2 linked regions of the Ovis aries genome follow. The protein of the gene in region 1 binds, or shares a complex with, the protein of each later gene. Links are inferred from orthologs where the notes say so. Each region holds a gene or a part of one and is shown on either strand. Other genes may lie near its edges.

Evidence for each region. The genes of interacting proteins can lie anywhere in the genome.
Region 2: the proteins of PLEKHM2 (region 1) and ARL8B are in contact, whole or in part, in a crystal structure (PDB 8JCA), measured with the Homo sapiens proteins. The link is inferred for Ovis aries from reciprocal best matches to the Homo sapiens genes PLEKHM2 and ARL8B. Residues at the interface, in NP_055979.2 of Homo sapiens: His70, Phe71, Thr72, Arg73, Arg74, Glu75, Glu103, Ser105, Glu107, Ser108, Tyr109, Arg111, Leu112, Glu115, Glu147, Phe148; in NP_060654.1 of Homo sapiens: Glu22, Thr52, Val53, Gly54, Phe55, Asn56, Met57, Lys68, Trp70, Arg77, Phe78, Arg84, Tyr85, Arg87, Gly88, Val89.

What each region holds. Positions count from the first base shown.
Region 1 is NC_056065.1:51,135,501-51,139,722, forward strand, and holds part of PLEKHM2 (pleckstrin homology domain-containing family M member 2), read right to left. Parts: coding exon 4,210-4,222; intron 3,909-4,209; coding exon 3,844-3,908; intron 3,523-3,843; coding exon 3,434-3,522; intron 2,819-3,433; coding exon 2,686-2,818; intron 2,470-2,685; coding exon 2,279-2,469; intron 1,961-2,278; coding exon 1,895-1,960; intron 1,382-1,894; coding exon 1,222-1,381; intron 900-1,221; coding exon 720-899; intron 632-719; coding exon 515-631; intron 1-514. UniProt on the Homo sapiens protein: Plays a role in lysosomes movement and localization at the cell periphery acting as an effector of ARL8B.
Region 2 is NC_056072.1:21,220,393-21,224,614, forward strand, and holds part of ARL8B (ADP-ribosylation factor-like protein 8B), read right to left. Parts: intron 3,344-4,222; coding exon 3,263-3,343; intron 1,932-3,262; coding exon 1,858-1,931; intron 1,224-1,857; coding exon 1,130-1,223; intron 1-1,129. UniProt on the Homo sapiens protein: Small GTPase which cycles between active GTP-bound and inactive GDP-bound states.

The DNA.
Region 1 (4,222 bases):
CATCAGGCGATGCTCCCTGAGCTTCCTCCTTCCAGGGGTGCACCGGTTCTTGGGGGTGGGGGCTGGGGGTGGCACCAGGAGGCAGGCTCTGTACCTGGGAGTCTGCCTGTGGAAATGCGCTCTGCCAAAGGTGGGCCCAAAGCTTCTGAGGGGCAGCATAGCACGTGCTCATACCAGGATCTGTCCCGGAGTTCGATGAGGCCCCCTCAGCCTGGCTCTGAGCTCTATGCCCCCACCATCTTAGCGCAGCTCTAGCCCCACTATAAGCCCTTAAATCCTGCTTTTTGATGGGGACTGAGAAGGTCAAGAATGGTGTTTCCTGGGCTCGACGCTCAGCTTTAGCCTCAGCTTCCCAGGGAGTTAGCATCCTGTCCCTTTGGTCCTACCGATATCTGTCCTGGAGCTCCTAGTTCAGCGCTTCCCTGGGCCCCTGACGCCTGCCCTGGTCTGTGCCGTGCAGGGCGCCTTTCCCCAGGGAAGGACTCCCTTCTGCGGGGCTCTGGCAGCTGGGTACCTGGTAGATGGTTTTCCACCCTGAGTTCAGTGCAGATAGGAATCGATCCAGTTCAGGTGTGCAGCTCAGGTAGACAACCCAGGGTGGGAGGGGCTGTGCGCTGTCCTGGGAGAACTCCTGGGCAGAGCAGGGGCCCCAGGTGAGCAGACTCAGCACTCCTGTGGCAGGGCCTGCCTCCATCACCTGCCCCCCTCACCCGGCTCACCAAGAGGCAGTACTCCTTGCCCGGTTCAGTGGACACAGAAATGATGTCGGCCAGCTTGGCAGTACCCAGGGAGCGGAAGAAGCTGGTCTGGCAATCCTCGTGGCACGTGAAGAGGCGGTCATCGGTGATTACCAGGCAGCAAGGGATGCAAGGGCTGGGAGCTAACCCCTGGGGGATGACCTGGGGGGCATGGGTGGGGGAAGGGAGGGGCAAGCTGGAGCTCTCCAGGGCTGGTCTGCACCAGGACACCCTGCTTCAGGGGCCAGCCAGCCCCTCTGCCCAGCCCTCCAGAGGTCAAGCAGACTCCGCCCACCTCAGGAGTACAGGGGCTGGCCCCAGTGATGGTGGGAGCGTCAGGCCACGGGTGGCCCTAAGCTCCAGGGTGGACTCTTGGGCTGGTTCTTGGAGGTCCTGATTGGTCCTCGGGGGCTGCTCTGTGCTGCGTCTGGGTGTAGGGAGGGGCCCTGGGGGCCCAGGCTGGGGGAGGGGAGCAGGCGCTCACCCCCTTGGACACGGCCTGGCACAGGTGCTGCATCCAGTCGGCCATCTCAGCCTCGCTGTCAGCACTCAGCTCCAGGCAGGGCCGGTCGGCGAGGACGACCTGGAAGGCGTGGGGCCGGTCCGTGGTGTTGGATCTCCGACAGCCACCGCACTGCTCCCCCCTGGGCCAGAGGAGGAGGGTGAGACGGGTCGAGGAGGCAGGGGTGGCACAGGGGAGCTCCTGGGGCTGCCCCAGAGTCTCGGGTCTGGAGGACACCAGAGGGTGGTCCAGACCCCACAGCTGGGCAGCCCCGCCCCGACCTCTTTTCTGTGTAACACCTTTAATCTCCAGGATTACCAAAGTCCTTCTGCATACTGAACAGGGCCAGGTGAGGGGTGGAGAGTCGGCTCTCAGCCCCGCCCTCTCAGGATCAGTGTGCTTTGCCCACCTCTGTGGGCCTGGCGCTCCCTCCAGGTGTATGTGTGTTCAACTCCCCCTTAGGTCAGGCGCTTCCCAGGGGAAGGACTGACTCCCCATCAGACTGGATCCTTTCCAGGCAGGGAGCTCCTTTTGCTTCCCCCAGAGCTCAGCGGACCCCAGGGCACTGAGTGGGGGTGGGGCTGAGCACACCTTGACCTGGCAGCAACACAGGCCCCAATACCTGCCCAGCAACCCCATTGCCCAGGACACTCACCCCATGTTCACTGAGAGCAGGGGCGTCACGTCGGTGCGGTCAGGATATTGGTAGAGGATCCCGTTGCTGCAGGGGCACAACGGGGCAGGGGTGAGTCTGGGCTGAGATCTGGGGGCCTGCAGAGACTACATCCTGGGGATCCTTGCAAGCTGGGGCTTGAAACACAGAGGCCAAGGAGGCTGGGGAGGTTGGGAGGGTGGAAAAACTACAGAGGTCCCACAAGGAATGCGTACCCCCAAACCTGGGGCCAGCAGCCCTAGTCTGCACCGGAGATGTCCTGGGCTTCCTTGGGCCCTATGCGGCTGACAACACAGAGAAGTTCTAGGTTCCCCGTAGGAAGGAGGGTGCTGTCCCCCACCCCAGCCTCCGGGCCAGAGCTCTCACCTGAGCACCACGAAGCAGGTCTTCCAGTGCTCCTTGCCCAGGTAGGAGGTGCCCGCCTTGTAATGCAGCATGCCTTCTTTGGTGATGCTGCCCTCGGGGGGTGAGCAGTGGCAGGGGATGGGGCCCAGGAACTCGTCCTGGGGGTCCTCCCAGTGCACAAGCCCATAGAAACGCACAGTAACAGCGGTCGCCTGGGGAGGGAGGGGGCAGGGGACAGAGCGGTGAGGTTGGGGTCAGAAGCAAGAATGGCCGTTGTCAGGGTGAGGACACACCCCAGCTGGGGAGGAGGAGAGAGCCTGCTGCAGGCAGATGATGGAGAAACATGGACGCCCGCTGTCTGCACCTCGTGACCCTGACACGAGGGCTCGCACCTCGGGGACAACAGCCTCTCCTCCCCAGGTTCTTACTTCACACTTAGATTCCTGGGCCACAAATTTGGCCAGAGCCAGCTTCTCCATGGTGGCGTCAGTCAGGATGCTGGGGTAGGGGGGTTCCCGACAGCCCTTGATCATGGCTGACTTCAAAGAAGCCAAGAAGAACCTGTGTGGGGAGTGGGGTCTGCTGTCAGAGGCCTGGGGCCCCCACCCCTCACAGGGACAGGGCTTAGTCCTGAGGACGTCTGACCTGAAGGGGTCACAGGGTTTGAGGGGAGGGACCCATCTGGAACCAGAGCTAAGGTGGCGGGTGGGGCAATGAGGTGGCAGCCGTCCATGGTCATCAAACGGTGGTCTGGGAAACCTAACCCTTCACGATGGCCAAGGAACCTTGGGTCTTGACCACAAGGGAAGCCCGGATGAAGTGACGCAGCAGGACTCAGATGAAGACCCGCCCTCAGGATAGACAGTTTTCGCACGGAAGCACGTGGGCCAAGAGTGGCCCCGTGGCCCAGAAGCAGGGGCTGTGCTTTCTGTCCTGTGGGGGCGATTCTGCCAGCCCTCTTTTCCTCTCTGGGGGCCACTGAGGGTCTGAGGTTCCCCAGTCGGTCACTGTGTCTGTCAACCCCCTGCTTCTCTGCCCGGACCGCAGGGTCCAAAGGAAACTCGTCTCTGCTTTCTACTTCTTCAAAGCCCACTTCCCACCCTCCCCCCCAGGGGTGTGGCCAGGCCGGAAGTGCATGCTCCGTCTCCTGGCCGGCGGAAGGGGCGTGTCACGCACTCGGCCAGGGCCACGTCCGCTGTGTCCAGCAGAAACTGCTTCCTGCGGTTGGTGCACACCAGCTTCACCGTCTGTTGGTCGAGGCCCACCTGCCGGAAACCACACCCTCACATGCACATGGAGCTTGGCCGCGGCTGCCACAGGGGCAGCCATGGCCAGGTAGAGGGCGGGCTTGGGGGGGAAGAAGCACAGACTGGGGTCACCATGAAGTGGGAAGGGATGGTCGGATGTATAGAGGAGGAAGAGGGACCCTTGGGCTTGGTTCTTATCCTTGGCATCCCGGGGGTAGATGAGAACTGGCACCCACCCTGGGACTGAGGCCAGGGGTCGGCCTCGCTCTGCAGCTCTGAGGCTTGGTGGCCCGTGGAGCCGTACAGACAGCACACACCAGCCACAGAGCCCGAACTCACCGACACATAGTCGAGCTCATTGTAAGAAACAGCCTCTTCCACCAAGTATGGCTTCTCTGTGGCCCCTGAGAGAGGAGACCCCAGTGCTTGTTATCCCTGGGGGCCTCTCTGCCCTTCCCCTGCCCCATTTCCTAAGACCTTTTCTCAGTGAGGACCTGCCCTCGCCCTGCTATCTGAAATGATGGGGTAGGAGAATGACATGGGGTACTCATGGAGGGGCCCCCAGGCTCATGTCCTGGGATACTGACAGGCCCTTCCCAGCTGTGCATGTTCATCACCACATGCAGCAGAGAGATACTCCGGGGCAGAGGGCCAGGGGGTAGAGGGGTGGGAGGCGAGAGGGTTTTGGTGGGGGGTGGCAGGCACCTTTTCGGAGCAG
Region 2 (4,222 bases), on another chromosome or scaffold:
TGGCACCACCTTCCATCTAACCATATTAGCCAGGAACTAGGAATTACCCTGTTTATCTTCCCTGCTAAGTCTGGTGGACTGTATTCCTAAATAGCCTCCACATCTATTTCCTTCTCACAACCTTGTCTATGACCACCCCAATCCATGGTACTCTATTTTGCCAAGACAAGTTCAAAACTGTCTTGAACTTGAAAACTGTTTCAATAGCTTCCTAAAACTGTCCTCCTTATGCTAAGCTGCTTCAGTTGTGTCTGACTCTTTTCCACTCCATGGACTGTAGTCCGCCAAGCTCCTCTGTCCAAGGGATTCTCCAGGCAAGAATACTGGAGTGGGTAGCCATGCCCTTCTCCAGGGGATCTTCTCAACCCAGGGATCGAACCCACGTGTCTCCTACGTCTTCTGCACTGGCAGGTGGGTTCTTTACCACTAGCGCCACCTGGGAATAGTCCCCGTACAATCCATTTTTAAACTGAAACAAGAATGATTTAGATAAGCCTGAGCATTTAAAACAGCCAGTCCCACCCAGCACAGCCTCCTGAAGTACCCTTGCTATCACAGGCTCACAATGCTCTACCTGTCCACTCTGCTCAGTGCTCTAGGGACACCAGCCTCCTCGCAAATCCCACTTCCTAAGAGCCTCTGCCTGCAACTCTCTTTTCCTCCAATTTTCACATCCCTCACATGCCTACACATCCCTCACATCTCAGCTCAAGCAGCACTTCTTGGGGAATCTTTCCTTCTTCTCTCAAACTATATCAAATCTCTCCTTCATAGCACTTATCAGAGCTGCATTATTCAAGCCATTTTCGTATCATCTACCTAGCTTCCTATTAAACCATAAACCCCATGATGGCAGGAAGCATGTTTCTATCTACTTCTGTTCACTACTATTTCCCCAGGACCAAGCACTGCTTCTACTACATACAGTTCACTAAACAGCTTAAGAAATGACTAAATAGCACACTGCCCAGCATATGATGGATACTCAGTAAATATAAGCTGTCCAGACTTTAAAACAAATAAGACACTCTACTAATTTCAAACATAATTAACTAAAATGCATAATTAAACTTTTAATAATATAACTACAAATATTATAATCATATAATGTGAAATTAACCATACTTACTGGAATTCCTTGTAATTGCGGTTTATCTAGAAGATTATGTAGTTCATTTCGAGAGGCTTCTATCTTTTCACGATCTGCAGCATCTATCATGTAACTTTAAAAAAAAAAAGTGATCTCAAAATGCCTCCACCATATTCTTTGATGATCACAATGAACAAACTTTTAATTTTCTTAATTTATACTACTAAAACTGTTGATCAAAATTAAGTCCTAGATTTTGAAAGGCTGTCACCCGAAAATACTTTTTAACAGACTGTCCTACAGATACAAACTACTATATACAGAATTAGATAAGCTGCAAGGATATGTTATATAGTACAGGAAATTATACCCATTATCTTTCAATAACCCATAATGGAATATAACCTGCAAAAACACTTAATCACTATGCTGTACACCTGAAACTAATACTGTTAAGCAACTATACATCAATAAAATAAGCAGAGAAATAGACTGTTCTTTAGGGGGCTAAGACATGACAGTAAAACATGTATATCCATTAGCTCTTAGCAACATAGAGAAAAAAAAACACTCATTTGATGATTTCTTTTTTTAAAGTCTGATGTTAATGGGAAATTATACTAAGAAAATACCTAAAAATGATTTTACTGCCAGAAATAAAACTTAAGCCTTTAAAAGTATGAAAAATGACTTATTCCCTTGAAACCTAAACTGACTATAAGGGGGGATGGGGGACAGGGCGTGGGGGTGGAAGGGAGGCAGCTTACACAATAGCATTGACTCCTCTGCAGTACCGTTCCCACATGCTCCGGAAGCGGGGTTGTCCTCCTATGTCCCAAATCTTCAAATCAAGATAGACAAATCTTAATAACAATGTTTCAAATAACACAGTGACGAAAAAAGTGGCAGACAGAAGGGAAAAAATGAAGCAGATATGCTCAGCTCCACAATGTTAGAGCCAAACTGCTTTGGAAAAATTTGAGCTCAAACAAGCTCTTGACCTGGAAGTTCCTGGGGACATTTCTGAACTTGAAGTTCGTATTTAATACGTTTACATTAGATCTAATAGGTGCTGCCTGAGCAAAGATTTCATTTTGGGGCCATACTTTCTTTGCCTGTTAACCAATAGATTTCCAATACTGAAAACCAATTTTTAAAAAAACAGTACTCTTAGAATCTGCATGATCACACATCATCCACATTTGAAGTCCAAGAGGAAAAAAAAAAAAACCTCTTCATTCAGAATCTATTAAAGTGTAATTGTCTGATGGGGTATATATATTAGAATGTAATCATTTTAAATTATTCTGTATATAACAGAAAATATTCCTACCTAGGTGCTTTTCTTATATAAAATTATTTTATCCATATGAAAACCACCAACTACAGTCATTTCACTATTATGGCTACTCTGGAGGGCTATGTAAAGGTCTTAAGTCATGATGTTTATCTTCAAAAGGCTTCCAATTTAGCTACAGACACTGGATGCATCCATAATGACATACACATGAGACATTAGAAGCTTCATTAGATAAGCTACAGAAAGAATTTAGTAAACAGCTTCTGTGAGCCAGAAGGACTGGGTAAAACGGCCATAAGGGTTCAGGCTATAGAAGCAAAACTCCCCACATGAACAAAGGAGTCAAAAATAATAAAAATAAATTAAAAACCGGTCCAACAGTCCACAACACAAACCTATCATACTTATTCTAGAAACAAAATGATGTTAAACTAATTAACTTTTTACTGTTTTAAAGTTTCAATTTTGGGGCTTAGTAGTAAAGAAAGGAAAACTAGGTTACCTTATTTGCTACCATAAATACAATACTAAATTACCAATATTATAAACAGTTACTCTCTTTCAACATAAATTATTCATGAAATATATGCAATATTACATTCCAAACACTCTGAAGATGGGATTTTTCTTTCCTAGGAACATCTAAATCCCAAATATTACTTTTGCCAACCCATATGCAAAGTTTTTCATGAGACTGAACATTTCAACACTTAAACATCAGAAAAAGAAGGAAAAAAATTAATTTACACTCTTTTGGAACATGCCCAATTAAGAATTGCCAATACTCATGTAAAAACCAAAGAAACAGAAAAACTCCTAATTTGTATGTGCTATTAACAATTTACATCAAGTACAGCAAGCAGCTGACGTACCTTTATTGTGACGTTACCTTTAGTTACTTTTCTCATGTTGAAGCCCACTGTAGGTATCATATCTTCACTGAACTGACCTGACTGAATGAAAGAAAACATTTGAAGTTAGACTAATTGTTACTTATTAAAACTGCAACACTGTATAACCTTTCACATCAACTTTACTTCTGTACCCATATTCAGTTCAGTTGCTCAGTCGTGTCCAACTCCTTGTGACCCCATGAATCGCAGCACACCAGGCCTCCCTGTCCACCATCATCTCCTGAAGTTCACTCAAACCCACGTCCATTGAGTCGGTGATGCCATCCAGCCATCCCATCCTCTGTCATCCCCTTCTCCTCCTGCCCCCAATCCCTCCCAGCATCAGAGTCTTTTCCAATGAGTCAACTCTTCGCATGAGGTGGCCAAAGTACTGGAGTTTCAGCTGTAGCATCATTCCTTCCAAAAGAACACCCAGGGCTGATCTCCTTTAGAATGGACTGGATGGATCTCCTTGCAGTCCAAGGGACTCTCAAGAGTCTTCTCAACACCACAGTTCAAAAGCATCAGTTCTTCAGTGCTAAGCAAGTAACTATTTTTCAGTGATGGTAACCTTCAGAAGATACTCCTGATAGCCATAGATTCTGAAGAGATGCATTTTTTTTTCATTCACATTCTCCTTTTAAAGATATTTTTGAAACTAATGCAAATTTTACATATTTTTAAGTTTAAGAAAAATACCGTACAACTACTTAAGAAATCTGTTGTGTAAATTTCCTCCACCTATACATACATTTTTTTATACAAGGTAGAAGTAAATCAGAAGCAAACAGTCAAAGTTTTCTATCTGTAGCACTGAAATTATATTGACAATACTGTTAAAATTCACTGTTGCTCTTCTGAGTCAGCTTTTTAATAATGCTTACAAAATGTTTTTTCATAAAGATGATCCTCCTTTTATGTAGGATTCTATTCAATTCC